Cricetulus griseus: one gene and its partners. The protein of the gene in region 3 purifies or fractionates together with the protein of the main gene of each other region. This does not show direct contact. Links are inferred from orthologs where the notes say so. Each region holds a gene or a part of one and is shown on either strand. Other genes may lie near its edges. The genes, in order: Bcar1, Git1, Pxn, Ilk and Git2.

Region 1 (4,915 bases), on a different chromosome or scaffold from region 3:
GCTCTCTATTCCTGTCGGGTCTCACCGTAAGGTGACTACTGGGAGCCTCACCTGCTGCAGCTCCAGTTGGCCTTTTCCCTGCCGCATTATGTTCCCCTTTTCTAGTAGCTCCTTCTGTGTCTTCTCAAACTCCTCCTTCCCCTGCAGGGAAGAGACAAAACACTGACTGAGAAGTCTCTTCTGGGACAGAGGCACCAGCAAGTACCATGGGTGCAAGGGCCAGGGAACCACCAGGTGGCAGTGTAGGCACACCAGGCCCAGAAGAGGCAGCTTGTAAAGGAAGCAGCCCCTACAGGAAGGGTCTGGTGCAGGAAGGTAGCTTTGTAGAGGGTACAGTCATTCTACAATCCTTCCCTTAGTCTACAAATGGAATGGCATGCAGGTGTCTTCTCAGAGGTCATTCTCATCCTACCTCCCTATTCCCCTTGTCCTATGTCATCTAGACTCTACCATCTGTCTCCTCAGAATGTTTCTACATAGAATGGAGCCACATCTATGGCCACTAGGAAAGCCCATTCCCCAAGGTGTTCTGGAGCCATCCTGATTGGTCCCTCAAGGCCCAAAAACATAGTCAAGTTGATCATCAGTCTAATAGCACAAAATACAGAGAGGGCACTAGGGTTCACCAGTGACCATTCCTGGAGCCCAAATCTCCCTTTGACCACAAGATCTCTATGTGTGGGATAAGAGGCCAGGGGAGATCATGGTCAGAGCTTTTGGGGCCCAGGCAGGCTGAGAACCCACCTGCAGGTGGACGTAGTCATAATCCTCCATCCAGCCTCCTTCACTGTTCTCATACTGCCCATCTGGAGAGTCCTGGGAGGTGAACTTGGGGGGTGAGGGCAGAGGGCGTGACTGGATGCTGCTGGCTTTATCAGTGGGGTTGGGGTGCAGGGAGCTGCCTCCCTCAGGCCCTGGGCCAGGGGCTTTGGTCCGTCTGAAAAGCAGTGAGGCATTGCCATGCAAAAAGGAGGCCAGCTGTTTGGCATCCTCAGGCACGGCCCGTGAGCAGGCCACCAGGCGGTCCATGTCTTCAAGGGTGAATCCTGGGCTTCCCCGGCCACTGTCAAGGACCTGACCATGGACCACCAGTGTCTGGTACACATCCTCCATCTTCTGTAGTTGCCGGCTAAGCTTGGCATGCAAGGTGCGGTCAGAAGTGTGGGTGGCATTGCTCACAGCACTGCGGGCAAACTCCAGGAGCTCATGTACTGCCCCGTGAACTGCAGCCACTGCAGCTTTGAGGTCCTGCACAGGAGGCTCCTGAGGCTCAGAGGTGCTACGCCAGCCCCCAGGCCCACTGGCACTGCCCACCAGGTCCAGAAGGTGGGCTACAGTGGTGCTTACACCCAGCTGCAGCCGCGCAAGGGACTCCACAGCAACCTCCAGCTCCAGGGGCTCCCGGCCTGGCACCACTACCTCCAAGGAAGATACTGATTGGCTGCTGCGTGTGCTGCCTGTGCTAGAGGCCGACAGGCGCTTGCCATCTGTTGGGGCCTCTCGTTCAGCTGGTGGAGGTACAGCATACACACCATCATCAATTACATTCCCATCAGCCACCTCAGGAGGGAGCACCTGTTCACGAGGCACATCATACAACGTTCCAGGGCCAGGACGCCTCAAACCAGGGGGCACGTCATAGAGGTCAGGAGCAGGGGGTGGCACATCATAGACATCCTCAGCTGGTGGGGAGTCTGTGGGAGGCGCAGCAAGGATCAATGGGTGTCGGGTTGGGCCAAAGGGCTTGGGCTTGGCGAAGGCAGGGGGTACATCATATGTCTCCTCTCGCTGCAGGGGGCCATCGGGCACATCCTTGCTCACGGACGGAGGAACATCATACACCTAGGGGACCAAGTAATGATTAAGACTGTTGTCTGTCTGCTCAGCCCTGGAGCTCAGGGGCAGAACCCAGCCAATGTACACACCCAGCCTGATTCTTAGCTATGACGACTATGCCAAGAACCTAGCCCTGGGGCTAGCTGACTAACTCTAAGTGCCTGGTTATTCATCTGTAAGATGGGGAACTCCCTCCCAGTGAAAGGCTATATATGTGTTCAGTGTGCAATTCTTAACTGCAGACATGTAGGAGAGACTTGCTACCATAGTGCCAATGCTGCTTGTTTGTCTCATTCCCACCACAATACCCAATGTCACTCTCATTGGTAGTCTTTCTATTTGTATCAAGCACTTGGCTGGGCTTTGTATGTTAGATTCCGGTTGGCTCTCAAGACAATTCTGTATGATTATCAGTCCCTTTTACATTCCAAGTGTCCTTCCTGGTTTGGAAGACAGATTTTGTGCTCTTCCTTTTTGATACCTCTCAGAGCATACATAATGAGAAGACCTGACAATGGGCTATTTTCTGGGGCTCAGAAGGGCATTTATTTTCTTTTTTAAAATTAATGTACTTATTTATTTTTTATGTGAATGGATGTTTGGTCTGCACGGATGTCTGTGCACCAAATGCATACCTGGTGCTAAGAGATCAGAAAGGGACGTTGGATCACCTGACACTGCCAGACAGTGCATGAGTGCTGAGAATTGACCTTGGGTCCTCAGGAAGAGCAGCCAGTGCCTTGGCCACTGACCCATCTCTACAGCCTGGGCATTCAGCTTCTATATCTGTCCCGGAGCAAGTAAAGACAGAGCCAGGGTCTGCAGACAGCAGTCCAAGCCCAGTTCATACACTCATCTGTGCCTTTTTCACCTTTAGAAAGGTCCAAGGCCCCAGCATTTGCTGGCTCCTTACCGAATGATGATTGGCTGGTGGCAGGCCTTTCTCCACACTCGGAGGCACATCATACACATCCAACAATGGGTCTCTGCCATTGGGGCCCTTGACTGCCATGGGAGGTGTGTCATATACCTGGAGGGCACAAAAGAAGGTGCAATGATACAACTGTCAGGGATATATGGTTTAATGGGATGAGTGGAAGTCCCCAGAAACCTACCTTGGGCACCTGGGCTGTAGCTGCTGTGCTTCTCAGGCCCTGGCTAGGCTGAGAATATACAGCTCCCACAGCAAGGCCCAGTCCCTGTCCTCTCCCATGCCTCTGATCCCCAATACTTACCTCCTGGCCATACTGGCTGGGAAGCAGTCCTCGTACAGGGGGCACATCATAGATGTCCTGGGGACCTGGAGCTAACAGGTGGCGTGGGGTATCATACTCGTCTTGCTCTGTCTGGGAGGCCTCGTATACATAGCCCTGTCCCACTCGAGTAGGGACCACCACCTGGGAACAAACAGCTGATTGCACCACTGGCCCTTGAAGCTAGCCCCTATGACCTACCCACAGATCCATGGGAGAGGTAGTGGTGGGGCTCTGCAAGGGTAGGCTTAGAGGCATTGCTTCTCATTCCTTTTCTGGAGTGAAATGCAGTGCTTGGGAAACAATTATTAGACCCCTAAGTTTTGTTTAGAGCTGTGTGGTTCTGGGCCATGAGACAGAAAGTCTCTACAGCCAGATGACCCAGTAGATTCCAGAGTAGGGTATGTGAATGACAAGATGGGATAGGAAGGGTAAAAGGCCTGACTCTTGAGGCAACGCCAGTGGGCAAGGCGCCAGCCCACGTAAGGTCTCTTGTGTCATTCCTGTTGACACCTCTAAGCTGCCCTGCCCCTCAAAGTTCTGCTCGGCAAGACAGCGACCTGATTATAGGACCACCACCATTTCCAGACACTGGAGGCAGAGGATATAGCCTGGCAAGGCAGAAAGCAACCCTCCCTTAGTAGGACTAAGTAACTTAGTAGGACTACTGAACATAATGACCACAGAGCTAACTCTTGAGCAGACGCACAGGGCTAGGATATAAGGTCAGTTACATGGCAAAGGAATTCTAACTGGAACCACTGTAGCCACACCCATAAGCTATCTTGCCCACCTGAAAGGGTAAGGCCTTAGTGGGAGTCCCTGGTCAGAGGGAGCCAGTCCCTTCCTTCCCAGGACCCTGACCCTGGATCCATGGCAGTGGGCTCTGTATGGAGGGCAGGCACTACCCCCTGGACCATGCTGTTCCTCCACAGCAGCACTCAGCCTGGAAGGGATGCAAGTGTGCCAGGCAGCCTCCCCTCTACAAGATTCTCCAGCCAGGCTCAGGGCACCCTCCCCCATGGGGCTCCCTGCTCAGCCTTCTCCACAGAAAGGCCTTTTGTTTTCTAATCAAAGGGGATGTCTGGGACAGGGTTGACTCAGGGCCGCCACACACACACATACCCTGCCACGTTCAGGCTCAACACTCTCAAACCCAACCCAAGCTTCAGCAGGCATACACCAGCATAACCCCTCAGCACCCCCCCCAAGACACAGGGGCACCCGGCAGACCCAGACCTGACAACCTCCATTTGAGCTAGGCAGATAACACTCAGTCCAGCTGGGATTCTGGACTGCCTCTAGCAGACAGCCTGGCAGGCTGGTGTGTGCCACTATAGGGGCTGCAGGGTCTCCTCTGTGGGGTGTCCCCACCCACCAATAACAGGGCCTGGGGGGCGGAGTTGCAGCTGCCTCTCCAGACTCATCTCCCTGCTCAGGCCCCAGACTTGAGTCTCCTCCAGGGCTATTTTTAGATGTTGGAACCTGCCCATGGCACAGCAGACTGGGGCTGAGGGACGTGGCAGGTTAGACGGGCCTGTGGCAAGGCCTGAGGCTTCTCTAGGCCAAGGCCGCCTAGGTGGGAATTCAAACCCAAAAGGGGCGATAGTGCACTTTTCAGACAGAGGCAGGCCAAGACCCAGTACAGAGAGCACCTCTGCCTTGTCAGCACCTATCTGGGCCTCATGTAGACAGGGTTGTATGCACAGGCCAGAGAGTCTCACTGCCAGACCCCTAAAGGTCAGTCCTAGGGCTAAAAGGCAGGGCAGCTCCTATTCCTACACCTGAGTCATATCACATTGACAGTAAGCAGCCATATTGGCTGG
Region 2 (5,647 bases), on a different chromosome or scaffold from region 3:
TTCATGCCACCATCAACTGTGGGCTGCAGCCTTAAGGACAGACTGAGCAATGGAACTAACCTTGGCTGAGGTTTCACTATTTACTGGCCAAGTATTTTGCTCACAATTCCTTTCACAAGTGCTATCTTGCTCTACTGATGAGGATTCAGTGGCTCAGAGAGGTCAAAGGGCTTGCTCAAGGTCACACAGCTAATAAGCACAGCTGCTGGGATGCTGGAGGCAGGTACTTCAATGCCAGACCAGGCCAAGCCTAAACTTGCTGCCCTCTGCCCCTGCAGTCTCAGGACCAGCCTGGGAAGCCATTCTCCAGTGAGGACAAGTGGGTAGGAGCTCCTGGTCCTCAAGGGTAGTAGAGATGCTACCACCCCAAGCCCCTCTGGAGAAGGGGAGGAGAAAGCACACACAGCTCAGGCCACAGAAAGGAAAGGTCATGGGGGAGAAAGCGGCCATTGTGTGCTGTCCAGAGTGGGGGCAGGGAGCTGCTCTCCCAGGACACTCTGCTCTGCCCAGGCCCCCACCCAGGCCCAGGAAGCCTTGTTCTGGGGGTGGGGCTGGCTCTCTGCCTTCCTTATTACAATTCAGGATGTTCCGAAGTGGGGACTCGACTCTTCGGGGTTGGACAGGTTTGGGATGAAGGTAATCTTGAGCAACCAGAAGGCACTTGGCAGGCCTTTGGAGCCAATGTCTCCATCAAAGTTCCCACAACCATGAGCAGACTGAGTCAGGGCTTAAGCTCTGCCCATGTTGGGAGGCAGTTCCCCAGTACAGTGTGGAAACAGGAATTAAAAGAGGTGTCTTTGGATCCAGGCTTCTTTTGGGGACTCACAAAACAAGGCAATGAGGGACGTACATAGTACATGCCCTGGGGCGAGGGGGACTGATTCTAAGAACTGGGAAACCAGTCATCTCCGCCAAAAGGGGGAGCCCTAGAGTCTTTAGTGTTGGTTTTACCCAAACAATGAGAACCCCCGCCCAAAGACATGGAAAACTCCCTTCCCCCACTTCCAAACACCACTGGGTCAGGGGGTCTGCCTGCCAGTCACCTCCTGCAGTCCAGGCAGGAAGCGGGAAATGATGCAGCCTAAATTCCTCTTGTTGAAGAGGTAGGGTTTCCTGTGAGTGGGGAGACGCCCAGGCCAGGATCAGAAATGGGCAGCCCTGAGGCCTCCACCCCAGCCCCCTGTGGCCCCGAGGAGGGTCTATAGGAACCAGTTGATATCCAGGGCCAGTGGTCCCAAAGCTTCAATCTTGAAGGCTTTGCTTGGCGTGGTTTCCCTGCCTGAGAAGGGTCCTCCTATTCCTCTGCAGTGACCTCAAACAGGAAGGGTGGGCAGGGGACATTGTTTTGGTCTGGGCCAGTTCTGGATGACACAGATAGGAAGTCAGTCCTAACAATTCTACCTGCACTCTAGGTCCAACCTTGGCCTGCCAAGCCAGTTAAAATCCCACCTTTGCCAGTTCTCAAGTATAAGGGCCAGGAAGGGCTTCTGCTACTTGCAAACTTGGGACAGAAAGGGAGGATATGCGAGGGTTAGAGGACATGGCACCTTCCTCTGGCTGCTCCACAGGCAGGTAAGGGTTAGTATAAGGGGCCAGACATCAGAAAGCACACTGGATAAGATAAATGGAGTCAACCATAGGAAGGCCCTAAAGTAAATTCATGTCACCTCTAAAAGCCATCAGTGGCTTCTACGGCCAGCAGGTCTGCATATAAAGACCAGCCTCAAGCCTTTCCCCCTTAAGCTAGGAGCCAAATTTTTGGAAAATGAGGGGGGAAATCTGCTATGCAGAACGCAGGCAAGAGGAATCCAAGGGAACAGAGGTCAAAGTGGTGGTTACTGCTGGGGGCGTGGTCAGAGGTGGAAGCAATGTCCTATACATTGAGTGGTGGCCACACAAGTTCACACATGTCTGAAACCCACAAAGAGCTAGACGTGGTAATGCACACCTTTAATCACGGCACTCAGAAGGCAAAAGCAGGTGGATCTCTGAGTTTGAGGCCAGTCTGGTCTATAAAGTGAGTTCCAGGCCAGCCAGGGTTGCACTGAGAAACCCTGTCTCGGGGGAAAAAAGGAGCAAAGCCTACCATCTGTCCTGCACTTGTAAGAAGACAAATGAGCCTATAGGTTGCCCTGCAACATGTTCCTCAGCTGGTGGTCAGCTCTGATCAGTTATAGGCTGTGTATCTGGAGGTCTTTACTTTTGTGTATCAAAGTGTAAGGCTGATATATAGGTTATGGATTGAGAAGTGGACAGTTGAGAGCCAGGCCAGTGTTCTTGGGAAGCAAGGCAATGAGGCAGAGTGGGTTGAGGCAAAGGAAGGGGACAGCCAACATTCTCCGGTGCACTCTGACTCCTGTCCTACCCTGGATTCCCAAGGCAGGCAGGAACACTGCAACTGGTAAGGTAGCACAAACTGCCAGCAGCTATACTGTGTCCAGATGCCTTACAACACATTTACACCTGTCTCTGAGCACAGACTGCATCTCACCTCTTGCCTCTATCACCCTCCAAGTTAATAAGCTATAAAAGGACCATGACCCTACCCCATAGTCTCACAACATAGCCCTGCCTGGCCTGGAGATCTGCCTCATAAGTGCTGGGCATGTGCTATCATACCCCGCTAACAGCAGAGTTCTATGACTTTGGGTGTCTGTGACTTTGGACTAGAGATATACTGGGATGTATGAGTATACAGGGATATAAGATATACCTCTCTCTCTCTCTCTCTCTCTCTCTCTCTCTATATATATATATATATATATATATATATATGTACATATATCATACACATGTGATACAAGAGAATGCTTGGCATGCTCATGCTCTCATCCAGGATGCTATAAGCCCAGATCTAGAATGACACTGTGTGTCAGCACCAGTGTGGTGTAGTGCAGTCCTGACACACACCAACACTTGTACCTGGGGAGTGGCTGCTGTGTGCCAATCACTGCCCTAGGTGCTAAGGTAAGATAATGAGTGAGATTGTCAATGCTCTGCACATATGCTTGGTTTACATTCTGGATCAGCGGGAAGGAAAAGAGTATGAAGGTGGGCCTGCCTCTGTCATATGAGGCCGGGGGCTGTGAGCTCAGTGGCCTAACATCTGACATACCCATTCCTCCTAGCACCCACTGGGTCCCCAGAGGCTCCAGCCAGGCAGTCACAGACAACACAGAAGACATAGCTTTGCTGATACTATCTTCAGGTCTCTGCTCCAGAACCAGGAACAGAGACTGGGGACTGGGAGGAACCTCAAAATCCACTTCTATCCCATCTTCTTTGTGTTATAGTTGAGGAAATGGAGGCCCAGAGTGAGCAAAGTGCTGCTATAGGTCACAGGGTAAGCTGGAAACAAAGGTAATCTGGAACCCAGACTCACCTGATGGTACCTGGAAGGCCCCCAGGCTTACCCCACAGCAATGCAGAATAGCTCTTCCATTCCAGGCCAACCTATGGCCAGGGGAAGGGAGTGACAGTTTCCAGCTAACTAGGGGCAAGGACATCTATCTGTAAATAGATCCTCCAGGGCCCTACAAAACATGACATACCTTAAGGAGGTCTCATGCTCACACCCCTGCCAGATGTCCACAACTCCCAATACTCTACCGTAGAGCACAAGAACCAAGGGACCATCACTCCTTGTGGGGCTCACACTATAAGATCTTGGGACTTCTAAGGGGTGACTGCAAGTCAGCACTCCACACTCTCACCTAATCACTTCTACAGTCCCCATGGAGTTCATAAGACTCCGAGCCTATCTGGAAAGCCAGCTTCTTTTATAGAGGATGGGCAAAGGCCAGAGCTTCCTTCCTCGGGCCAGCTGCTAAGTCCCATCACTGGCTGTGTCTTTCCACCTAAGGGACCAGTCTGGTAAGTTGCTGCCCTCCTCAGCAAGCCAGAGGGCTTTCAAACCAGTCCAGACCTAACTCTGCTGGGAAAGGGGGAGGAAGCAGTGTGCAAGTCCACCCAGTCGGACAAGGGGAGCCTAGGCACTTTCTCTGATCCAGAATGGTCTAGAGAGCAAGAGGAATCGGTGTCTAGACTGAGGCAATACCTAGCACACCTTCTTAAACAGGCCTACCCGGAACAGGAAAAGCTGAGTCTGGCTGTTCCCAGACACCAGCAGGCCTGGAGATGCTTCCGGGGAAGATGCCCATACTTACATTGTCCCTTAACGTAGGGCCCCTACAATGAGCCCCAGCCCTGGGGATCAGGGACTGGGCGTCCTAGAGTAGCCACCCCCGTCAGGTGCTCCCGAGAAACCTGTATCCAGGCCCCTTGCCCTCCAACGCTCCGGCGGGCACGCGGACCATGTGAGCAGCAGGTGCAAGACGCGGGGGTGGCAGGGATGACACAAACCATACTAGCGCCCACCTCCCACAGCCTGTGGGCCTCCGCCACGGCCCTCCTGCCACCCCAGGCTGGCGCTTTCGTCTGGATGCCGAGATGGAGGTGGGAGGCGGTTCCCTCCAGTCCACCGGCTCGAAGGCACAGCGCCCCCCGCAGCCGGCCCTCCCGCCAAGGACGCCGCTCCGCAGTGGCCCCCGCCCCGCCCTCCGGCCCCGCACGGCACTCCCGCCAGGCCCCGGCGCCCGCCCGGCGGCGGCCTGCGGCGCGGTCCCGCCCCGGCCCGGTCCCGCCGCTTACCCGGGGCGCTGCAGTCCGCACACACCTCCGCTCGCGGCCCCTTCCGGGACATCCTCAGCGGCGACGCGGCCGCAGCCCTCAGGGCCAGCGTGGGGGGCGCGGGCGGCGGGCCCGGGCGGCGGCGGCGGCCCTACGGCCCGGCCCGGCTCCCGCAAGGCCCCGCAAGGCTCCGCACGCGCGGCCAACCGTCCGCCCCCGGGGCTGGCCCGGAACCCGCCGTGCCCGCCCGCCCGCTCGCCCTCGGGCGCCCTCCGCCCCGCCGCCCCGCGCCGCCCCACCGCCGCTCGCCGCTCTCCCCGCCCCCTGCGCGGCCCGGGCCGCTCCTGCAGGAAGCAGCGCAGGCCCTGCCCACCGGGGGAGGGGCGGCACGCACCCCGCCCCGCTGCTCCGCTCCTCTCCAAGGCCGCGCCTCTCAGAGAGAGGAAGCCTGCGCGCCGGCCCGAGTGGACGGGGCCTCTTAAAGGAGCCGCGGCCCGCTCCAGCTTGGTCTGCAACCGAGACACCCCGCTAGCTCTTTGACCTTCACTTTCAGATTGGGGAGTGGTCCAGGAGCCGAGAGACGGATGTGATGGGTGCTAGGGCGGACAAGAAGCATCCCCAGGCACATTGCTCCTCGCGGTCAGAAGCTGGGTTGGGGTGAGGTGTGTGTTCTGGTCCTTTCTGTGTCCGTGTCAGTGTCCAGGTGGGTCTGTGGCCACATCCCCGCCAAGTACACGCGCTACCACCAATATGGACGGCCAGGTGCCCAAGAGGTCACTCAAGTGTGACTCCCTGCCTGCGGGATTAAAAAAATACACCTTCTTTGTTTCAAACAAGAAAGCAAAGAAGCTGGATGGTTTAAGAGTGACCACGGAGTTGTGTGCACCAGCACAAGCTTGCTATCTGTTTTGTATGCATCAACGATGTTTTGAGGCCGCCCAACGGGTGTGTATGTACCCAGAGCATATGCATATAACATACAGGATCCAATTCTTGTAAGGACCTTTTTTTTGGGGGG
Region 3 (6,010 bases):
CTAGGAGACCCAGGGAACAGAAAACATCCACAAAGCCATGCTTACAAAGTCACCCACAGTAAGCACCAAGGGGACTTGCAATAAGCTGTATGATGGGAAGAGAGCTCCAGAGCTGGTTCTAGGTGCAAACAAGGGGAAGCTGGCACAGGCACCAGCTCTGTGCTCCGCCCACCCCAGCTTTCCTATATCCTCAAGTCCTTTCTCTAGGGCTCCAAGACACAGTGTAGCTTTTCCTCGTGTGGCACTGGACTACAGGTCTAAGAAAGCAACTGCAGCCTTAAGGGACAGGTACCAGCACCATCAGTGCCTGGATCCTGACTGGCTGCTTATCACCACAGCAACAAGGTGATTGCTATTACCAGCCCCAATTCCACCCAATCTCCCACCTCCGTGTGAGCTCCAAGTATGAGTCCAGCTGAAGGGAGGCAGGAGGCACCTTCTAGGCCAAGAATGGACAGACAGCCTGGCTCCCTTCTCATATTCCCCAAGCTGTGCCTCAAAGGTCTCTGGCTGACCCACATGGAGCTGAAGTCAGCAACTATGAGAAATTTCAGTCAGTATTAATCCCTATTGAGGCACCACATCTTCTAAAGAAAACGTTGTGGACAGGCAGGCCTGGAGAGCCTGGGAGGGGAAGGTGGGACGCCTCATGCCGACTGGCCAGGTGCTTGGCAGGTTAAGTTTCCCACAGACAGGACTCTGGGAACTCAGGCCCTTAAAGAAGAAAGTGAGGGTAGAAGGAAGCTGGCTGGAAATGCTGGAAAACCCCATCCCCACAGCAGAAAGAAAGCGGGTGCTCTGAGGACAGATAGCGTGGGAGATACAGCTCTGGGACAAGTGACCTCTCAGGCATGAGGTCCTGGTCCCACGGGGCCCAGCAGGACATACCCTCCCCCACCAAGAGCAGCTATCAACACAGGGCTCATTGTCACTGTGTTCCAGCTCCTGGTCCCCTTGACCTGGTGGCTGGGATCACCAGGAGAGGGAGGAATGTTCCAGCTAAAGGCATCTCTGGTTTCTCTGCCTTCACAAGCTGCTAAGGAGCTCAGTCTTGAATATTACCTAGCCTCTCTCCTCCAGGGCCCCGAGGAGCTGCTAGTCATACTGAGGAAGGGTAATGGATGGGAGCAGGGAAGACAGAGAGAATCAGAGGGCACCTTAAAATCCGACAGTGAAGCCATGAGCTCGTCCAGCTCCCTGGTAGCAGAGGAGGCCGAGATGCGTGTCTGCTGCTGGCTGGAGGTGACTCGCTGTGGGCTGCTCATCTCACCTTGGTTCACAGTGATAGCCGGGCTGTGGGGCAGGCATGGAGTCAGTAAGGAGCCCAAGGGTCAGCCCCAGGCTCCACGGGGGGGGCTCCAGATCAACGACACCTCCAACTCCAGGGAAGGCCACCAGAACCCAGCAGCACCTTAGGGATCCCCATCCCTGGGAAAGAGTGACTAGCTAAGAAACAGTGCTGAGGTGAGGTGACCAGAGAAGGTAGGTGGTTCACAGTACCCCTACAGGAAGACAGGGGCACCACTACAAAGCCTCTCAACACTATACACATGCGAGATTATTACACATCAATAAACACTGACACATGGTGGCTCATCCCTGTAACCCAGCACTTGGGAAGCTGAGGCAGGAGGGCTACTACATAGTGAGTTTCAGAAGAGTCTGGGATATAGAGTGAAACCCTACCTCAAAATAAACAAGACCTGACGCTATTAGGGGCTTCCCTAATAGCTGTGATTGCCACAGCTACGAGCCAGCCCCCACCCCCCCCAACATTATATACTATTATATACTATTTGGTCTCACTCTATTTACTATGTAGGGTCATCTCCATTATTACTGTCTGCTTTACCTATTTTATAGTTTATGTCGTATTTTTGCGCTATGGTCTCATGCAGTTCAGACTGTCTTGGAACTCACTTATATAGCCCAGATTGGTCTTGCACCTGAGATCTCCAAACCTCGACCTCCCAAATGCTGGGATTATAACCATGTGTCACCATGCCCTACTTTGGCTTATTCCAACTTATAGAGCGAGAGTAAGACTGTTGTAGCTGGCACAGCCATGATCTAAACCCTGTGCCACATCAGCAAACCTGTGCTAACCCTGGCTTTGCCGGGTCATGCCATATCCCCAGGACCTGGCAAGTAGCAGACACTGTAGGGAGCAGGTGACTTCAGGGCTGATGGACAGGTACCACACAGCCCGAAGACAGTCGGGGTGAGACTTCAAGAGCTTCCCCAGCCTGGGGAGACCCTAATGGATACTCACACAGGGCTAGGCACAGAACTCTCCAGTTCATCCAAGAGGCTCTCCACGCTGGGCCGCACATCCTCCAGGCCCCGGCCTCCATTTCGCTTTGGCTTCTCTTTCATCAGGGGCCCAGTTTTTCCTCCCAGGGTACTGTTACTCTCTGGGACACCATAAAGGGGGCTCAAGGCTCCAGGTAGTGGGGGGCTTGAGTTGGCTTCATCTTGGAGATAAGGAAACAAAATGGTTGCTCATCCCTGAGTCCTCTAGGAACCCAAAGGCCCATGAGTAGTCCAGAGACCCGCTCACACCTGCAGGGAAGCCTGAAGGGTTGTGCTGCACAGCGTTCAGTTCTAGTAACAGACGGTCAAGCTCCGAGAGGTTGTTGCCCAGGGAGGAGCTCATCATGGTAGGTGAAGGCTCTGCGGACTTGTGTTTGTTGGGGAAGCTTTGAGAAGGAGAGGAAACAAGTAAGACTCTTCTGCCCTGCACTGGATGTGGCAGGCCCCAGATTCTCAAGGCCGGAGGGGTGGAATGTTACCAAGTCTCTTCAGCAAGAAGGCGGAGGGTAGGGAAGGAATGTGGTAAGGCAAGGAGGAAGGAAATTTTGCTTCAGTTTCTCAACTACAGAGATGCTGTCTCTACAGAGAAGGCAGTGACAGGGCAGAGGGGAGCCAGCTGACAAGCACAGGGCCTGGCAGGGGCCTTCAGGCCTTCTATAGTTCCACCAGTGGCCCTAGGGTTTCCCAGAAGCCGGGCTGATGTACAGTGCTGGTTCTGTACCTGTAGACGTGTTCTTCCTCGCCTGCTCGGGAACAGAGAGCGCTGTCCTGAGGGTTAGAGGCACCGGAAGTCTTAGCACTGGAGCTGTACACAGGTGACGGGGATGGAGGCTGCAGAAGAAAGAGTACTTTACTCAGGCCACCCCCAGGCAGCTCCTGCTCATAGCTTGTCTCACCAGGGAATTTCCACAGCTAGTCAGGTGATTAATACTTGGTCACTGGCCCCTCACATGGTGGGTGAGAAGGGCAGTGTATGACTAGGAGCCCAGAATCCCAGTCCATCCCCAATGGCTTTCCATCTCCTCGGCAGATCAGCTCCTTTTACCACTCAGCCCCCAAGGGCTCCGCAGACCCCACCTTACCTGCTGGTGAGTGTATCGGGAACCACTAGGCTGCCACTGGTCTAAGGGGTCAAGGATCGTGCCATTGAGGGCCTCGCTGGATGGGGGTGGTGGAACAGGGGGTGGCACTGCAGTCTCCTGATAGGTATGGTTTCCAGTTGGGTAGGAGTAAGGGGGCTCCTCTGACAAGAACACTGGCCGTTTGGAGATGTGGGAGGTGGTTGATTCCAAGTCTGCCAGCAGGGCGTCTGCAAAGAGAAGACGTCCACTGGTGAGAGTTGGCCCTATTGGGCACTTCCCAGGGGCAGTGTCCTGCCTTCCTGAACTTGAAGAGATCCTGTCTGGCAGACACCTGCTGCTTCGATGGGAGAAGAGACCTGGAGTTTCCACATCGGCTGCCCGTCCTCTCCTCCCTCAGGGGTTAGATGCCTGGCTCTGCATTCCTCCTGACAAGGCTAGGCTGCTGCTGCCTGGTGTAAGCAAGAAATGCCTGCTTAGAACTCTGATTCCTGAGGGCAACTGGGAGAGCTGGGTGGGAGGAGTCCTACGTCATGTCACAGCACAGGGAGGGGCTGGGTAGATAGAGCCAGGTCCTCTCTGGACTTCTAAGAGCCTCAGCCCAAGTCTAAAGACAGGGGGTGGCCTTAGGGAGCACCTGTGCTCCAGGTAGGAGCGGAATTCCATGCTCTAAGCTCCTCCTGAGGCCCCAGGCTGTGGGTAAGGTATGCAGAGAGGTAGGGGGCTGGCATGAAGCCAGCTCGGCAGCAGCCACCCCCTCAACAAGCTGGGAGTAAGACTGCTCTGCCAAAGCCTGGCAAGCAGCCCAGCCCTAGAAACTCCAGGGCCCCATGACTCCGCTTTTAATGGGGGGTGGGTCAGATCTCCAACACAAGCTGCCATTACCCTGGCATGCAGTAGCCGACAAGAGGCTCAGGTTCTCGACAGGAAGGGACAGCTAGAGGGACAGGAGTTGGAGGTACTGACCTTCCTGCCATAGCCTCCCATCTTGGGACCTTCCACAGTGCCACGGCCTGGGTACAGTCCAGCCCCGCTCACCACACCCTCCCTCCTTCCTGCACTGCTCACTGACCTGCTCACTCTCAGCATCTAGTGACCTGCTTCCTGGGCCCTCGTGAGTGGCAATCGAGGGGCAGTGGCTGCACTGCACTGATCACCATCTACTAGGAACCACTAAAGGCATCTACACGCGTGGTCACAAACAAGTGCCCCTTCTGGTGACCTAAAAGGCCAAACTGTTGTCTTTGGAGCTGAGGAAAGTAGGCTTGGAGGCTAGCAGTACCTGCCCTGAGTGATAAAGCAGGAAAGGGCAGGATCACAAGACTCCTCAGACTCCTTAAGTCCCAGACACCAAGCCTGCAGGAGGGACTGCTGTGATTTCAAAGAGACAAGATACCAAATCTAAGGAACTCAACTTCCTACACACCAGGGGCTCGAGCTCTGATCCTTGCTGGCGGCCCTGTCTGTAGCTCCATTCCCATGCAGAGAAAAGGGAAGCAAGGGCCTTTGAGGTCATGCCCTCTCCTAGCAGCCCTGACTACCTGTCACTAGGGTGGGTGCACCTACCCCTGGCTCCTGCTGTATGGCTGGACGAGAAGTTGTTCGAAGGCCGGGACCCTGGGTCCCAGTCTCTTGCTGCTGAAGAAATTCTGCTCCTGCAGCCCCTCCCCGTCCAGGTCCCCCGGAGGAGCTCTGACTTCCTGCCTCCAACAAACCGGAACTACAGGGAGTCTCTATGAGTCTAGGTAAGGGCATAAAAGGAACTAATGTCCAAAGCCAATCCCAAAGAGTCTCTAGGGCCACACCTGCTGTCCATTTCCTCTGGGCCCAGCCCAAAGTAGGCGGAACTCCTCTTCCTCCATCACAGACTGAGCCTGCAGGGCCAGCTCCACAGAGCAGGCCACAAATACAGCCCTGATGGGGCTGGCAAGAGCAGTCCTGTACACCTATCAGGGCCAAGAGCTTCACCTGTGGAACTTGCCATCCCCCAACCCAACAACACTGCCATAGAGGGCTGGGCTGAGGTCCCCCTTGCCAAAGATGGCTAAGGGATAACACAGTTCCCTCCAGTTCCAAACACTCCAAGGAAGACAATGGCCTTCCCTGCTAGCCGGTAAATCAGGAGTTCCACTGCCCGCTCAACAAGTCCCCATGCCCTGCACCCATGGTGCGATGCTGTGTCTGGCTTTATTGGTTTATGGGCCAGATTCTGGTTTGACTTCTTTTTTTTTTTTTTTCTATTCTATTTTTATGGTACTAGAGCTAGAACCTGGTGCCTTGCAGCATGGTAACGTCCACCTCTGAACGGAGACAGGGTCCTGTTATGTAAGCCAGGTGGCCCCAAACTCTCAATTCTCCGACCTCCATCACCACTCCCAGCGGCACGAGCCTTTCTCATTTATTTGTTTTCTTTCTTTTCTTTTGTGTGTGCGTGTGTATGTGTGCTCAGCAGTTCGAGCCTGTGTGGAGGTTGGAAATCTATGCCAGGTATGTCCTTTTTTGGGGGGAGGGGTCGAGACAGGGTTTTTCTGTGGCTTTGGAGGCTGTCCTGGAACTAGCTTTTGTAGATCAGGCTGGTCTCGAACTCACAGAGATCCGCCTGCCATTGCCTCCCAAGT
Region 4 (5,737 bases), on a different chromosome or scaffold from region 3:
AGCAGAGATCCCACCAAAGAGAGTTTGTCTGTGGCATTTCCTTTCTATTTCTTTGCCCTCAGAGTCACTGATAGATAACACCTGTTTTTGACATTTTCTTTTTCTTTTCTCCCCTCCTTCCTTCAAGGCATTGGCTTGTGAGGGCCTTTGGAGGTATTTTTTCTTCCTTCCTACCTCCTCCTCCTCAGAGTCACTGCCAGGTGGGCTGGGGAATTTCTGGGAAAGAGATGCTGCTTCCAGAGCCTTTAATGTGGCCAAGAGATGGCGGCGCTTGCGGCCCTAGAGGCAGACAAGGGATGAGAGTGGATGTGAGAATGGATGAGGTCTGGAGATTAAGAAAGGAGAGATGGGATTTAGTTCAGACACTGGTGATTTTTCTCAGCCAGTTTGTAAAGTGTGCCAAGCCCAGAACTTTCAAGCTGCAACCCCACGATCTAGGAAGCTGGAGAGTGGCAACATGCTTCTACCCTGCTTTTTTAAGCCTGTAAAGGATTGTCAGGTGATGTTCCTTAAAGGAATGTGCTAAGGTCACAAACCACAGGACCAAGACAAGACCGCAGCTGATAGCATTCCAGGAGCACCAGAGAGGTTTCTTGAAACAGGAAGGACAGCATCACACATGTCTATTAAAGATGTTCCTAACTGCAGTAGCGATAATAGCCAGGTAGGATGAGGCTGCACACAGGCAGGCCAGCGGCCTGCATTAGAAGGATGGAATACAGATTAAAAGAACACCCTGGGCTGACTAAAAGTCAGGAATACCCAAAGGAGATACAATAGTTCTCACATTCGATGAAACTCAAAGGAAAAGAAAGACCTGTTTTCTGTGAAGCTGACTTGTGGTTCAAGTCCTGCTGCTGATCCTCGGCCAGGCATTTACCTCGGAAATTCTGGGTTCCCCATACCTTTTTTAAAATAGTGATCCTGATAACCATCCCTGCCACCTGCTTTGACTGTGTCCAATATACTTTCTACAGTGCAACTAAGAACCTTTCCAAGCTGGGGGTGCAGCTCAGTAGTGAATGCTTGCTTACCAAGCCCTGGAACTGATCTCCAGTATAAAGTCATGCCTGGTGATAGAAAATGTGGCGAAACCACTCCATTGCTAAAGCAACTCCATTGACTTCTACCCTTAGCGTACGAAAACTTACTTTTCAAACCTTTCATTTACTCTGTACTCCACCCTCCGAACCTCGCATTCCTATCTTGATACACTCTAACTCGGTGTGTTTAACCCCTGGGCTTCTCCAGGTTTTTCTCCATCTCAGGTACGCTCTCTCCTCTGTACCAACTTCTCACCAACTGTATTTTAAGGTCAGTTTTTTTTTTTTTTGGGGGGGGGGGAGTTTCCGGATCTTCAGATAAGGACTAACTCCCTCCATCCCGATCCACGACAGCACTGCAGGCTCTCGGTCTCCCCAACACGCACAAGGGCGGCTCGGGAGGGTCGGCTTCGCCACCTCAAACAGCCCAGTCCCCGGCCGCTCACCTTGACTGGCGGAGCAGTCGCTGGCCGATTCTGTGTTGTCGCTGGACGGAGGCCCACGGCTGCTGGGGCCGCCTCGACCCATTCGGGCTCCTCGAACATGCCAGTGGAGGGCAGGGTCGCCGGAGCCCACGCCACGGCCACGTGCAAAGCCCGTCAGGGTATCGTAGCGTTGGACCCTAACCAAATCCAGCCGGAAGCCACAGAGTGAAAGCCTGTGGTGGCTAGAGCGGCCGGCGCGGAGCAGAGCACCATCGAGTGCAGCTGCCGGGAGCTAGAGAGGCAGTAGGAGGTCGGAAGGGAGGGACGGTGGCCCGCTCTGGCCCAAGAGGGCCGGGCGGGGCGGGGCGGGGCGGGGCCGGGCGGCGGGCGCGGCCGGACGGGAGTTCCCCGGAGAAGGCGCCTGCGGCCCGAGTCCCGGTGAGTGCGGGTGTCTCTGCGCCCTGCCCCACATTGGCCCTGCAAACCCATCTCTGCGATCTCTGCAGCAGTTACGAGCTGGGAGCCGGGGCCGCCCGGGAAGGTCCTCTGTCTCCTCCTCCGGGTGTTTGCAGCTTGTTCTCCCCCCCGTCCGTCCCCCCCCAGCCGTGCTCGCGGGTCGGGACTCGGTGCCCACAGACACCGGCTCAGGAGATTAGCAAAGTCCCTCCTATACCGCCACACCCTGCCTGTCCCTCGCGCCCAGTGGTCGTCTCGCTGCCCGAAGTCCTTCACAGACGACCACTGTCACTCTCGCAACGCCTAGCCCCCCATCCCAGAGCAGACAACTCTGTTCTGCAGAGAACAGAGCAGAGCTCATCCTCTTGTCTCTGCTTTCCCGCAGTCCCCCAAGGCTTCTCCTGTCCGGGACGCCGCTATGGACGACATTTTCACTCAGTGCCGGGAGGGCAACGCGGTGGCGGTGCGCTTGTGGCTGGACAACACAGAGAACGACCTCAATCAGGGGTGAGCTGAAGCGCTGGAGAGTGAGAGAAGGGCTGTCAGTCTACTCTCCGCTACGTGGGGTGCTCATGTCGGGCGGGGGCAGCTGATTTTGCCATCTAGTGTGAAGAGTATAGTAAGCACAGACTGTTGGAGGGGTATCTACATTGAGGAAGCTGTGTCTGAACTGAATTTATTAACTAAGCTTCACATTCAGAGGTTCCGGGTTGCTTTGCAGCCTCTGTGAACTCATGTCAATGGCAGGCCAGAGTGTCAGGCAATTGCCTGGAATTACATGTGGTTGGAGAATAGGTTTCTGTGCCCTGGAGCATTGGATAGAAGTGAAAAAGGACAGATGTCTGTAAGCAAAGTTCTGAAGCTGTGTGGTGATGAGACTGTCCATTTGTCTAATGTCATCCTGGAAGTTGCCTTGAAGTGATGTTTTGGACTAGAATTCGGACAGTTGAAAAACTAGAAGTGGTGAGATTCTCCCAGAGTCATAAGGATGAAGTAATTGACTTGACATGGGAACTGAGGGTAGTCAAAGATGGCCTGGGGTTTGTGAGGTTTGGGCACTTGGATACTTGGAAGTTGCTGATGTTCTGTCTGGACTGATACAGTTATGGTGGCACTACAGCAACTGGGAAATATTGGGCAGGTTGTTGGTTGTGTAGATTTGAATTTCAGGAGAAGTCTGACTTGGAGACCAAGATACCACAAATATCATTTAAATGGTATCTGAAGATTCTATAGTGTGAAAAATAGTACCTCAAAAGAGCAAGAAATTAAAGCAGAGGATTAGAAGCCTATCCAACTGACAGGTATCAACCTTCTGAAGGAGAAATAGGAAAATGGATTAAGATTAAAGAATGTTTTAATGAGCTGGTCACTTGTAGCATAGGCTTCTGAGAAGTTAAAGAACATGAATGAGTATCTTATGTTCTTCAGTTAACTTATATTTAGGTCATATTTGATCTTGTAAATGAAACTGCAGAAAATTAACAGGAACCTGCTTTATACTGGGTTCCTTCAAATAAGGAACACCACCTATAGTGGGTACTAGAGTCCTTAAATCAGACATAATCAATGCCCTCGAGATGGCAGGCTTCTGGAAAGGAGAAAAGTGAATGAGAAGCGAGGAAACGGAGAAAATATGAACACTTTCTAAAATGCTGGCTGATACAGGAAAGAAAGAAAAGTGTTGTTGGGAAAGTTTAGTAGGTGGTTTTGGTTTGCTTTTGGAGATAGGGTGTCATGTAGTTCAGAGTGGCCTCCATCCTACTGCCTCAGCGTCCTGAGTGCTGGGTTTTCAGTTTGCTGTCACCATGTGTGACTAGAAGAGTGTACTTTTTTAGGTTGTAAAGGATCATCTGTCATCTTAGGCCAGGTTTCACCAGTTCCCTTTAGGCTGTGTTATTTCTCTGTAATATTCAGTTTCATTTTTCACATGATTCGTAAGCTCTGGTACACACTGAGACATGTTTTGTTGGTAAGGAAATAGAAGTTTAGGCTGTTGTCCCCAGTGGGAGTGACATTTTGGAAGATTCCTTGCTGTCAAAAGGTGAAAGGGCATCATTAGGGAAACCAGAAAGATTTGGTGGCTTAAGGGGACAGGGTGTGTTGTTGGTGGTGGTTAATATCCTACAGGCTTTCTTGAGATAGAAATCTAGGCCCTGGGGTGACAGTGAGCAAAACTCAGTGCATTTATTTTTGTTCTCAAGCTTGGGCTTACACTGAGGCCAAGACTGCCGGAGGCTGTTAGGTCAGAACACATGAGAAGTCTGGGAGACAAGACTGATAGCAAGGGATATACTCACATCCTGGGAAAGGTTTTGCTGATTGTGTTAGCAGATGAGGGCTAACTGGAGGAACAATTTTTTTAAAGCTACATACCTCCTTCAGCTGTTGAGGGATTCTGGGTGACCAAGTCTGGATCAGCTCAAGGCCCCTCCTCCAGCCCCCTTACAGGAAATGACCACAGCACTAAGGCATCCGGAGGCTGCAAGCCTAAGCCACAGACCGCCCCGTCCCGCCCCTTAGATCTGCATCCCTGGACTGGAGGGAATTTCCTTTTATGGCTCCAGGCTGTCAGTTTGACCCAGCCCACCCAATTGTTTTGTTTGTACACTTCTCTTTATAAAATATATGTTCTTAGAGAATGAAAATACTAATCAGATATAGTTTTCATCTTAAAGCTTCTATATATGTTTTCTTTTGTGTGTTCTGGGTTGATAAGTAGGAAAATCCTGTTTTGTGTTATTATCTGCCTCATCAGTAATCAAAAGCATGTTTTTTTTTGTCATTATATCCCTCCAAAACATTTTAATTCCATTCCATTTTTAGATGTTAGTTTCAATACCAGAGCCAAATAGTAAGCTTGTTCCCTCTCCTAAGTTATGGCCTCCTTCTCCAATATGCCCCTCTCCCATTAACTTGCATAGAAAGAACATCAGCTGTCAGACTCTGTCCTCAAGCATATGATCTAACAGGCAAGACAGCTGACATCAACAGATTCTTTTCTTTTTTTTTTTTTTTTTTGGTTTTTCAAGATAGGGTTTCTCTGTGTAGCTTTGGAGCCTATCCTGGCACTCGCTCTGTAGATCAGGCTGGCCTTGAACTCACAGGAGATCCACCTGCCTCTGCCTCCCGAGTGCTGGGATTAAAGGCGTGCGCCACCAACGCCCAGCTACCTCAATAGATTCTTACAATCTAGTCAGTGTACATCTACAATAAGGAGAGGCACAAGAAGCAGTGGAAACAGAATTAAAGGTGTGGCTAAAAATGTATGAGCTGAAGATACAGCTTAGTGGTATACATAGCATATGCCAAGTATGTACAAGGCCCTGGGTTTGACTCCTAGTACTGTCAATCAAGGAGCAGCAGACGCCAAAGAACCCAGAAGAGTGCTATCACCTAATGAAGAACTGCTAGGGAAGAGGATCTAGGAGATGGTCATTAAAGTAATAAACCTTACAGTTGTTGGGACATCTGAGTGACTGGGTGTGAAGCTCAAGGGAAAATCTGAATTGAACTTTGTGAATTGCTGACATGAGTAAAAATTAAGTACTAGAGAGGCAAGCCTTCTCAGTGAATATAGAATTCTCCCATCAAAGCTTTTGTCCCTCCCAACCTCCAATTCCATGCCTCTTTCTCAAAGGGATGATCATGGCTTCTCCCCCTTGCACTGGGCCTGCCGAGAAGGCCGCTCTGCGGTGGTTGAAATGCTGATCATGAGAGGAGCACGTATCAATGTGATGAATCGTGGGGATGATACCCCCCTGCACCTGGCAGCCAGTCATGGACACCGTGACATTGTACAGAAGGTATGGG
Region 5 (5,682 bases), about 1.3 Mb from region 3:
CTCGTCTGCAGCCTGACTGTGGGTCCACCACCACACCATAGGCACATACTCTTACAGAATGGTAAAGAAGCAGATTGAAGGAGCAGGGGTGGGTCATTCTACTGTTTCCTTGCAGTGCTGGGGATTGAACCTGGGGCCTTGTCCATGGTGGGCACGCTCTACCATTGAGCTCCGTCTCAACTCAATGAATCATTTTTAGTCCATCTTTGTAAATAAGACTACACAATCTTGACAGTGGATTATTCTCATACAGTATCTAAAGTAAACAGTGAAGTGCCCACTGCCCAGTGTAGGAAGTCAAGGCCCATATGCTAACACAAATCCAGAAGAGAACTGCAGAATTGTTCAGCTCTTCTGAGGCAGGAAAGGGTGGCCCACTCCTCTAAGGCAATGCTCTATGACAACACCAGTTGTTTTAGACAACCTGCTGGATCCAGTCTTGCAGCTGACTCGAAGGAAGGCACCTCACAGAAATAAAGACGTAAACCAAAATGAACAGCATTTCTCGTTGAGTACAATACTTTCTTTCCTTTGAAATCCAAAAAAGCTTCATCACACAATCTTTCATAAGAGGAATAATTTACACTATTCAGGCAGGATGGTTCTGGGCAAGTAAACTGAGCCTTAGAAACCCCAAATAAAGACAGGCCTTTCCCATTCCATCAGACTCACAGTGCGGTGACAGTAGGTGCTACTCCAGCTGCCTGGCCTAAGGGTTACACTTTAAAATTCTTCAATGTCCACAAAAATCTCTAAAATGCATGTATATCATGCTTACCATTTTTAACAATTTATTCTAACCCCTTCAAACCATATAATGAAAAGTTATGGGATTTCAATCAGAGACAAACCCTGGGAGCCAGAGAATACGGTGGTAAGAGGGTTGGTTATGGAGACAAAGAGCCCATGGTTTGAATTCCAACTCTGCCACCACTTCTTGTGCAATAATCCGAGGCAAGTTACTTCTTTGAGTGTCCTCATAGTGGGACAGGGAGGGTCAATGCAAATAAGAATAAATAAAGTATCTATCATGGGGGCACAGGAATGATGCATTTTAAATGAACTAGATTCATTAAAAACAAACAAGAATCAGGGCTGGGCTTTGTGGAGCCCCCACACCAACCACAAAGGTAAACAAGACATAATCATAGTGAAGTGTGTTCCCTAGGACAAAACAGAAAAGAATCCAGCAGGTTCAACTGTAGTTGCTACTATGGCATTCTAAGGAGGCGGGCGGGGAGTATGAAGATTCTGACAGACACATGCAACACTGCTTCTGCATCGTCTATTAGTATTAGGACTGGACATGTGGCTTTGCTTTTTATTGTCAGAGGTTCACAGTATTCCTAGGCAAATCAACCAGGAGGAGAGCAATGGTTTAGCCCACATTAAACCAACGGTCTTGATTAATCACTTAAACACCACGGATCAGAATCCCAAGGAAAGAACACTGACAACACAGAAAATGACAATCAAGCTTTTGTCAATGAGGTTGGGTGAAGTCCTTCCAGTTTATCTGGAAGGTTCCATGAACAAACACTACACATGGACTTCAAAGGTATCTGTGCCTCCGGCCATCGTATGCAAATTCTGTCCAGGAGAGTTAAGTATTTCATCGTCTTCTGAGATGGCCTGCACATTAAGATTTCAAAGGAGCCCGAATCCTACAGCTGACCCTCCACCTAAGCGGTGCATAAAAGGCAGCATAAATTCCTAGTCTGCCAGTTCACCCTTCAAGGTAGCCTCATTATATTCAAAACAGGAAGGAAGTGACTCAAGTTTTTCTAGATTTTGGCATTCAAGACAACTAATATGAAACAACAGACAAGGTCCTGAAATGGCACAAATGGACAAGACAGTTTTCAGGGTACCAAGGAGAAGCCATCTGCTTTTGCCTCGTACCTTCCAGTGGAGAAGTAAAGAATGTGCATCCCAAGAGGAAGTTTTAAGTTAGACACACATGAATCAACGGAAAACAGGCAAGAAAAGAAGGAAGCGGAACAATCGACATTTTATAGAAAATGATAGTTTGTACAAACCTGGCTTAGAGTATAAAGCACTCCTTTAAAAACCCTCCCTGCCTGTCTTTACCTTCCCTCTGAACTGTTAACCTGTAGTAGCCAGGACTATGAAATAACTAAGAGTTAGCACAGCACCATTTACAATCTGCCTCTGCTTCTAAATGACAAGATGAAAACAGTTACAAACCGCCTGTGTTCAAAGACTTAATTAGGCTTGTTTATTGAACATCGGAAAGTCATCTAAATATGTAACTGACTAAACACTCGAAGTTAATCAAGTCCAAGAAACAAAATGATCACAAAAAAATCCGAATCAAAACATGTCAATTGGATTCCAATTACTAAGCCAGATCCAATCTTCGAATCCAAACACTATCTGCAGTAGGAGCCGTTTTGGCCATTCGATGTCCCCGAGTTTACAATGCCAGCGACTGTGTGTTTGGTACACTTCTGAAGCCAAATTGCAGCTGAAGGAACTACAACGGTTTTCAACTGAGTAACATCATACAAAAGACACGATCCCCTGGGGAATATCCCACTGACCACTGCGCACTGTACTGGTGATAATTTCCACCGGGAAAATGAGGAAAACCAGGTTAGAGCAAGTGAAGTCATTAGTCCAAGGTCACGCAGAGGGGCGAAACCTGGTGGGAAACTTGAGAACCCGAGCTCGGGCTGTCTCCCCCCCCCCCCCCAGGAGCGGCTTGCAGGGCGCGGGACAACCCTCCACTCGGGGCCCCTAGGGCAGCGCAGCCCAGCGGTCGCGCGCACGCTCGGGCCGGGGGACCGGGAAGGGGAAACACCTGCAACCTCGCTCGGGCCGCCCGCGTCTGCCTCCTGTCACCGGCTTTCCGGGGCTGCCGAACCCTTCCCGTCCCGTCCACTCCCGGGTCCAGTCGCCTCTGCCCTCGGTCGGGCCGCGGAAAGGAGTGAGCGACCCCCGGGGCCGCGAGGCTGACAGGCCCGGGACCGTCTCGCGCCCGGGCGGCCAGGGGGGTCGGCGTGGCTGGGCCGCAGCCAACCTCCCGCCCGCGGGGACAGCCCCGCCAGGAGTCCGGACCCCGAGAGCGCGGCGAGCGGGCCCCGCCGGCGTCACTCACCCGGCCCGCTGCAGTCGGCGCACACGTCGCTGCTCCGGAGCCGCTTCGACATGGCTCCCGCTTCACCTGCCGGGAACCCCGCGACGGCAGAGGCGGCGGCGGCGGCGGTGGCGGTGGCGGCGGTGGTGGCGCTTCCGCTCTAACGGGTCCCCGGGCGGCGCTGGCGGCGCCTCTCCCCTCAGCGCCTCGCAGCCCCGGCACACTGCGCACGCGCGGGGAGACGTCCTGCCGAGCCTGACGGATCATGTGACCGGAAAGGGCACGCTTCCTTATCGCCATCTTGAATGAGGGCAGAGGTCTGCCCGAGCATCCTTTGCCTGTCTCTAAATACTCCCGCAGTTGGGCTTTCCCTTTTGGGGAGTGATTTCCTGATCCTGGACCCATTAGTACCAGAGGAAGAAGCAAAACCTTGTGACAAAAAACTCTAAACGTACAATCTCCCGGAGACAGTCATCAGTTAAGTTCATTTAGTCATGCCCATCTCTCCAAAGTGATGTTAACACACACTCCTTTATTAAAGCTTTTTAGGCACCATCTCGGTGTTACTAATCCCGTATTAGCTTCACTCAGAGGAGTGAGCTAGGTTGGTTACAATTCTTGACCGGCCCTTGCACTCATCTGAAAAGCTGGGACGACTTCGTGGCAGCTGTAAACATCTGGGCAGACACAACACTGGGTTGGTTCTTCACTGTTTCAAGAAGTCGCAGCCCAGAGGATGGATTTGACTTGTGCCTGTTGTGGGCCAACCTGGAGACTTACTCTATTAGTCCTCTGGGCCACAATCCTAAATCCGAATGGCTAGCTTAACGAGACTGATGCGGGATAGACCTTCAGGGTGAGTACTTTGAATTATAGCCTAGTTGGGAATTCAGACAAAATAAGTGGTTTTCAACTGGGCGATTTATTTGTTTGTTTGTTTGTTTTAACCTCCGGGGGACAACTGCGAACGTCTGGAGACCGTTTTGGGGAGAGTGCTGATGGCATTGAGTAGGCAGCGCTCAGCCTCCTACAAAGCGTCCACAACAAAGAACCCTCCAGTGCAAATACTCCAAAGCTTAGAAGCCCAGAGACACAACTACCCCGATATCTTGAGGATATCTGGTGCCACCTCTCCAGGGTTCAGTCCTTCCGTGGAAACGATTTCGTGTTGCCCACTTCCAAAATGGCTTCTGACCAATCGTGGAAGGCTCCAGCCAGATGGTTTGGTCCAGGCTGGCACCCCCGGGCTACAAAGCCAATGGAAGGGGCCCATTTGTGGAGCGAACCACTGGAGGGGCTGGAGCGGCAGGGGAGAGCCAGGGGACGCGCACCCTGAATTTTGCGCTTGAGGATCTCAGGCTTCCTGGCGGGGGGATGTCCCACGTTTCCATAGACCTTTGATCGTCGTGTGTCCCGGGGTGGGGGTGCGGCGGGACGAAATGGATCAAGGCTCGGGTCTGTCTCGGGGCCGCGTCCCCCGCCGCGGCGCTCGGTGGAACGCCCCGTGCACTTCCCTGTTCGGGGCGGTTCGGCCGGCGACAGTCGGTTCGCGAGCTGTCAGCTCGGGCGCGAGCGCGCGGGGCGCGGGGTGGGCGCGGCCGAGCGGGTCCCCGAGCCGGTCCCCAGCCCGGCCCGCGACCCCGGGCCTCCAGAGCCGCCCGCTCCGGCCTCGGAGGCCCCCGCCGCCCGCCGCGTCCCGCACTCGCCCGCTCGCCGCTCTCTTCCCCTCGCTCTCTGGACAGTCGGGCGGGCGGGTCCCCGAGACCCCGTCGGATCGAGGCTGGTGGCGGCAGGCGGGCGGTCAGGCCCGGGCCGCGGCCTCCTCGCCATGTCCTCGGCCCGCGAAGCCAGCAGCCGCTTCCCGCTGCACCTCCTGGTTTGGAACAACGACTACCGGCAGCTGGAGAAGGAGCTGCGGGGCCAGGTGAGGCGCCGAGTCGGAGTCGGAGTCGGTTCGTCTCCCGAGCCCCGCTAGGACCCGTATCGAGCGATTCCTGTAGACCGGGCTGTATGCCGAGGGCTTTTGGTACAGTGTCTCCTTTCCATTGTCGCTAGGAATGAATGCTGATATGACAGGGAAGGAAACTGAGACCCCAGAGCCTACTTGCCTTGCGCAAGGCCACCTGGCTAATGAGTACCAAGTCTGGATCTTTAATCTCAGGCTGGCTGGCCCCCGAATGCACCTTTAGGTTTTATGGCCTCCAAGGCGGAAGAGCAACACACACACCTCTTACTTCACCCACCCTTGTTCTGGGGAAGAGCTTGGTTGGCTTCGGAGGCCGGGTTCTAGCTCCCTAGTGACCTTGGGCAAAGCAGTTACGTTCTGGGGCCCACTCTACCTTACCCGTAGGGTGAGGATGTTGTCAGCGATGAGGGAAAACCCAGTACCTGTCTGGACTGATGGTTCTGGGGCTGGGCCTAGGAATCAGAATTTAACGAGCTCCCCAAGGTGGCTGATGTAATGTTTGAGATTATCTGGAGCTCAGACCCCTTAGGACCCCTCCCTGTTCTGAAATGCTTTGGTGTTTTTTGTTTGTTTGTTTGTTTGTTTTTATTTTTCCTTAAAAAAAACACATTGCCAT

Evidence for each region.
Region 1: the proteins of Pxn (region 3) and Bcar1 purify together in Homo sapiens (affinity purification with western blotting; 3 studies listed by BioGRID, with this or other methods). This does not show direct contact. The link is inferred for Cricetulus griseus from reciprocal best matches to the Homo sapiens genes PXN and BCAR1.
Region 2: the proteins of Pxn (region 3) and Git1 purify together in Homo sapiens (affinity purification with western blotting; 8 studies listed by BioGRID and IntAct, with this or other methods). This does not show direct contact. The link is inferred for Cricetulus griseus from reciprocal best matches to the Homo sapiens genes PXN and GIT1.
Region 4: the proteins of Pxn (region 3) and Ilk purify together in Homo sapiens (affinity purification with mass spectrometry; 4 studies listed by BioGRID and IntAct, with this or other methods). This does not show direct contact. The link is inferred for Cricetulus griseus from reciprocal best matches to the Homo sapiens genes PXN and ILK.
Region 5: the proteins of Pxn (region 3) and Git2 purify together in Homo sapiens (co-immunoprecipitation; 3 studies listed by BioGRID and IntAct, with this or other methods). This does not show direct contact. The link is inferred for Cricetulus griseus from reciprocal best matches to the Homo sapiens genes PXN and GIT2.

What each region holds. Positions count from the first base shown.
Region 1 is NC_048596.1:188,123,411-188,128,325, forward strand, and holds part of Bcar1 (breast cancer anti-estrogen resistance protein 1), read right to left. Parts: intron 3,234-4,915; coding exon 3,072-3,233; intron 2,867-3,071; coding exon 2,750-2,866; intron 1,843-2,749; coding exon 745-1,842; intron 142-744; coding exon 52-141; intron 1-51. UniProt on the Homo sapiens protein: Docking protein which plays a central coordinating role for tyrosine kinase-based signaling related to cell adhesion. Implicated in induction of cell migration and cell branching. Involved in the BCAR3-mediated inhibition of TGFB signaling.
Region 2 is NC_048600.1:90,896,440-90,902,086, reverse strand, and holds the start of Git1 (ARF GTPase-activating protein GIT1), read right to left. Parts: upstream 3,522-5,647; 5' UTR 3,507-3,521; coding exon 3,383-3,506; intron 1-3,382. UniProt on the Homo sapiens protein: GTPase-activating protein for ADP ribosylation factor family members, including ARF1.
Region 3 is NC_048597.1:95,637,548-95,643,557, reverse strand, and holds the start of Pxn (paxillin), read right to left. Parts: upstream 3,782-6,010; 5' UTR 3,767-3,781; coding exon 3,727-3,766; intron 3,623-3,726; coding exon 3,396-3,622; intron 3,145-3,395; coding exon 3,035-3,144; intron 2,700-3,034; coding exon 2,563-2,699; intron 2,475-2,562; coding exon 2,273-2,474; intron 1,294-2,272; coding exon 1,158-1,293; intron 1-1,157. UniProt on the Homo sapiens protein: Cytoskeletal protein involved in actin-membrane attachment at sites of cell adhesion to the extracellular matrix (focal adhesion). Recruits other proteins such as TRIM15 to focal adhesion.
Region 4 is NC_048596.1:93,963,161-93,968,897, reverse strand, and holds the start of Ilk (integrin-linked protein kinase), read left to right. Parts: upstream 1-2,316; 5' UTR 2,317-2,342; coding exon 2,343-2,431; intron 2,432-5,564; coding exon 5,565-5,730; intron 5,731-5,737. Other genes in the region: Rrp8 (ribosomal RNA-processing protein 8), read right to left, coding at 1-279, 1,490-1,588. UniProt on the Homo sapiens protein: Scaffold protein which mediates protein-protein interactions during a range of cellular events including focal adhesion assembly, cell adhesion and cell migration.
Region 5 is NC_048597.1:94,387,289-94,392,970, forward strand, and holds the start of Git2 (ARF GTPase-activating protein GIT2), read right to left. Parts: upstream 3,320-5,682; 5' UTR 3,174-3,319; coding exon 3,122-3,173; intron 1-3,121. Other genes in the region: Ankrd13a (ankyrin repeat domain-containing protein 13A), read left to right, coding at 4,929-5,024. UniProt on the Homo sapiens protein: GTPase-activating protein for ADP ribosylation factor family members, including ARF1.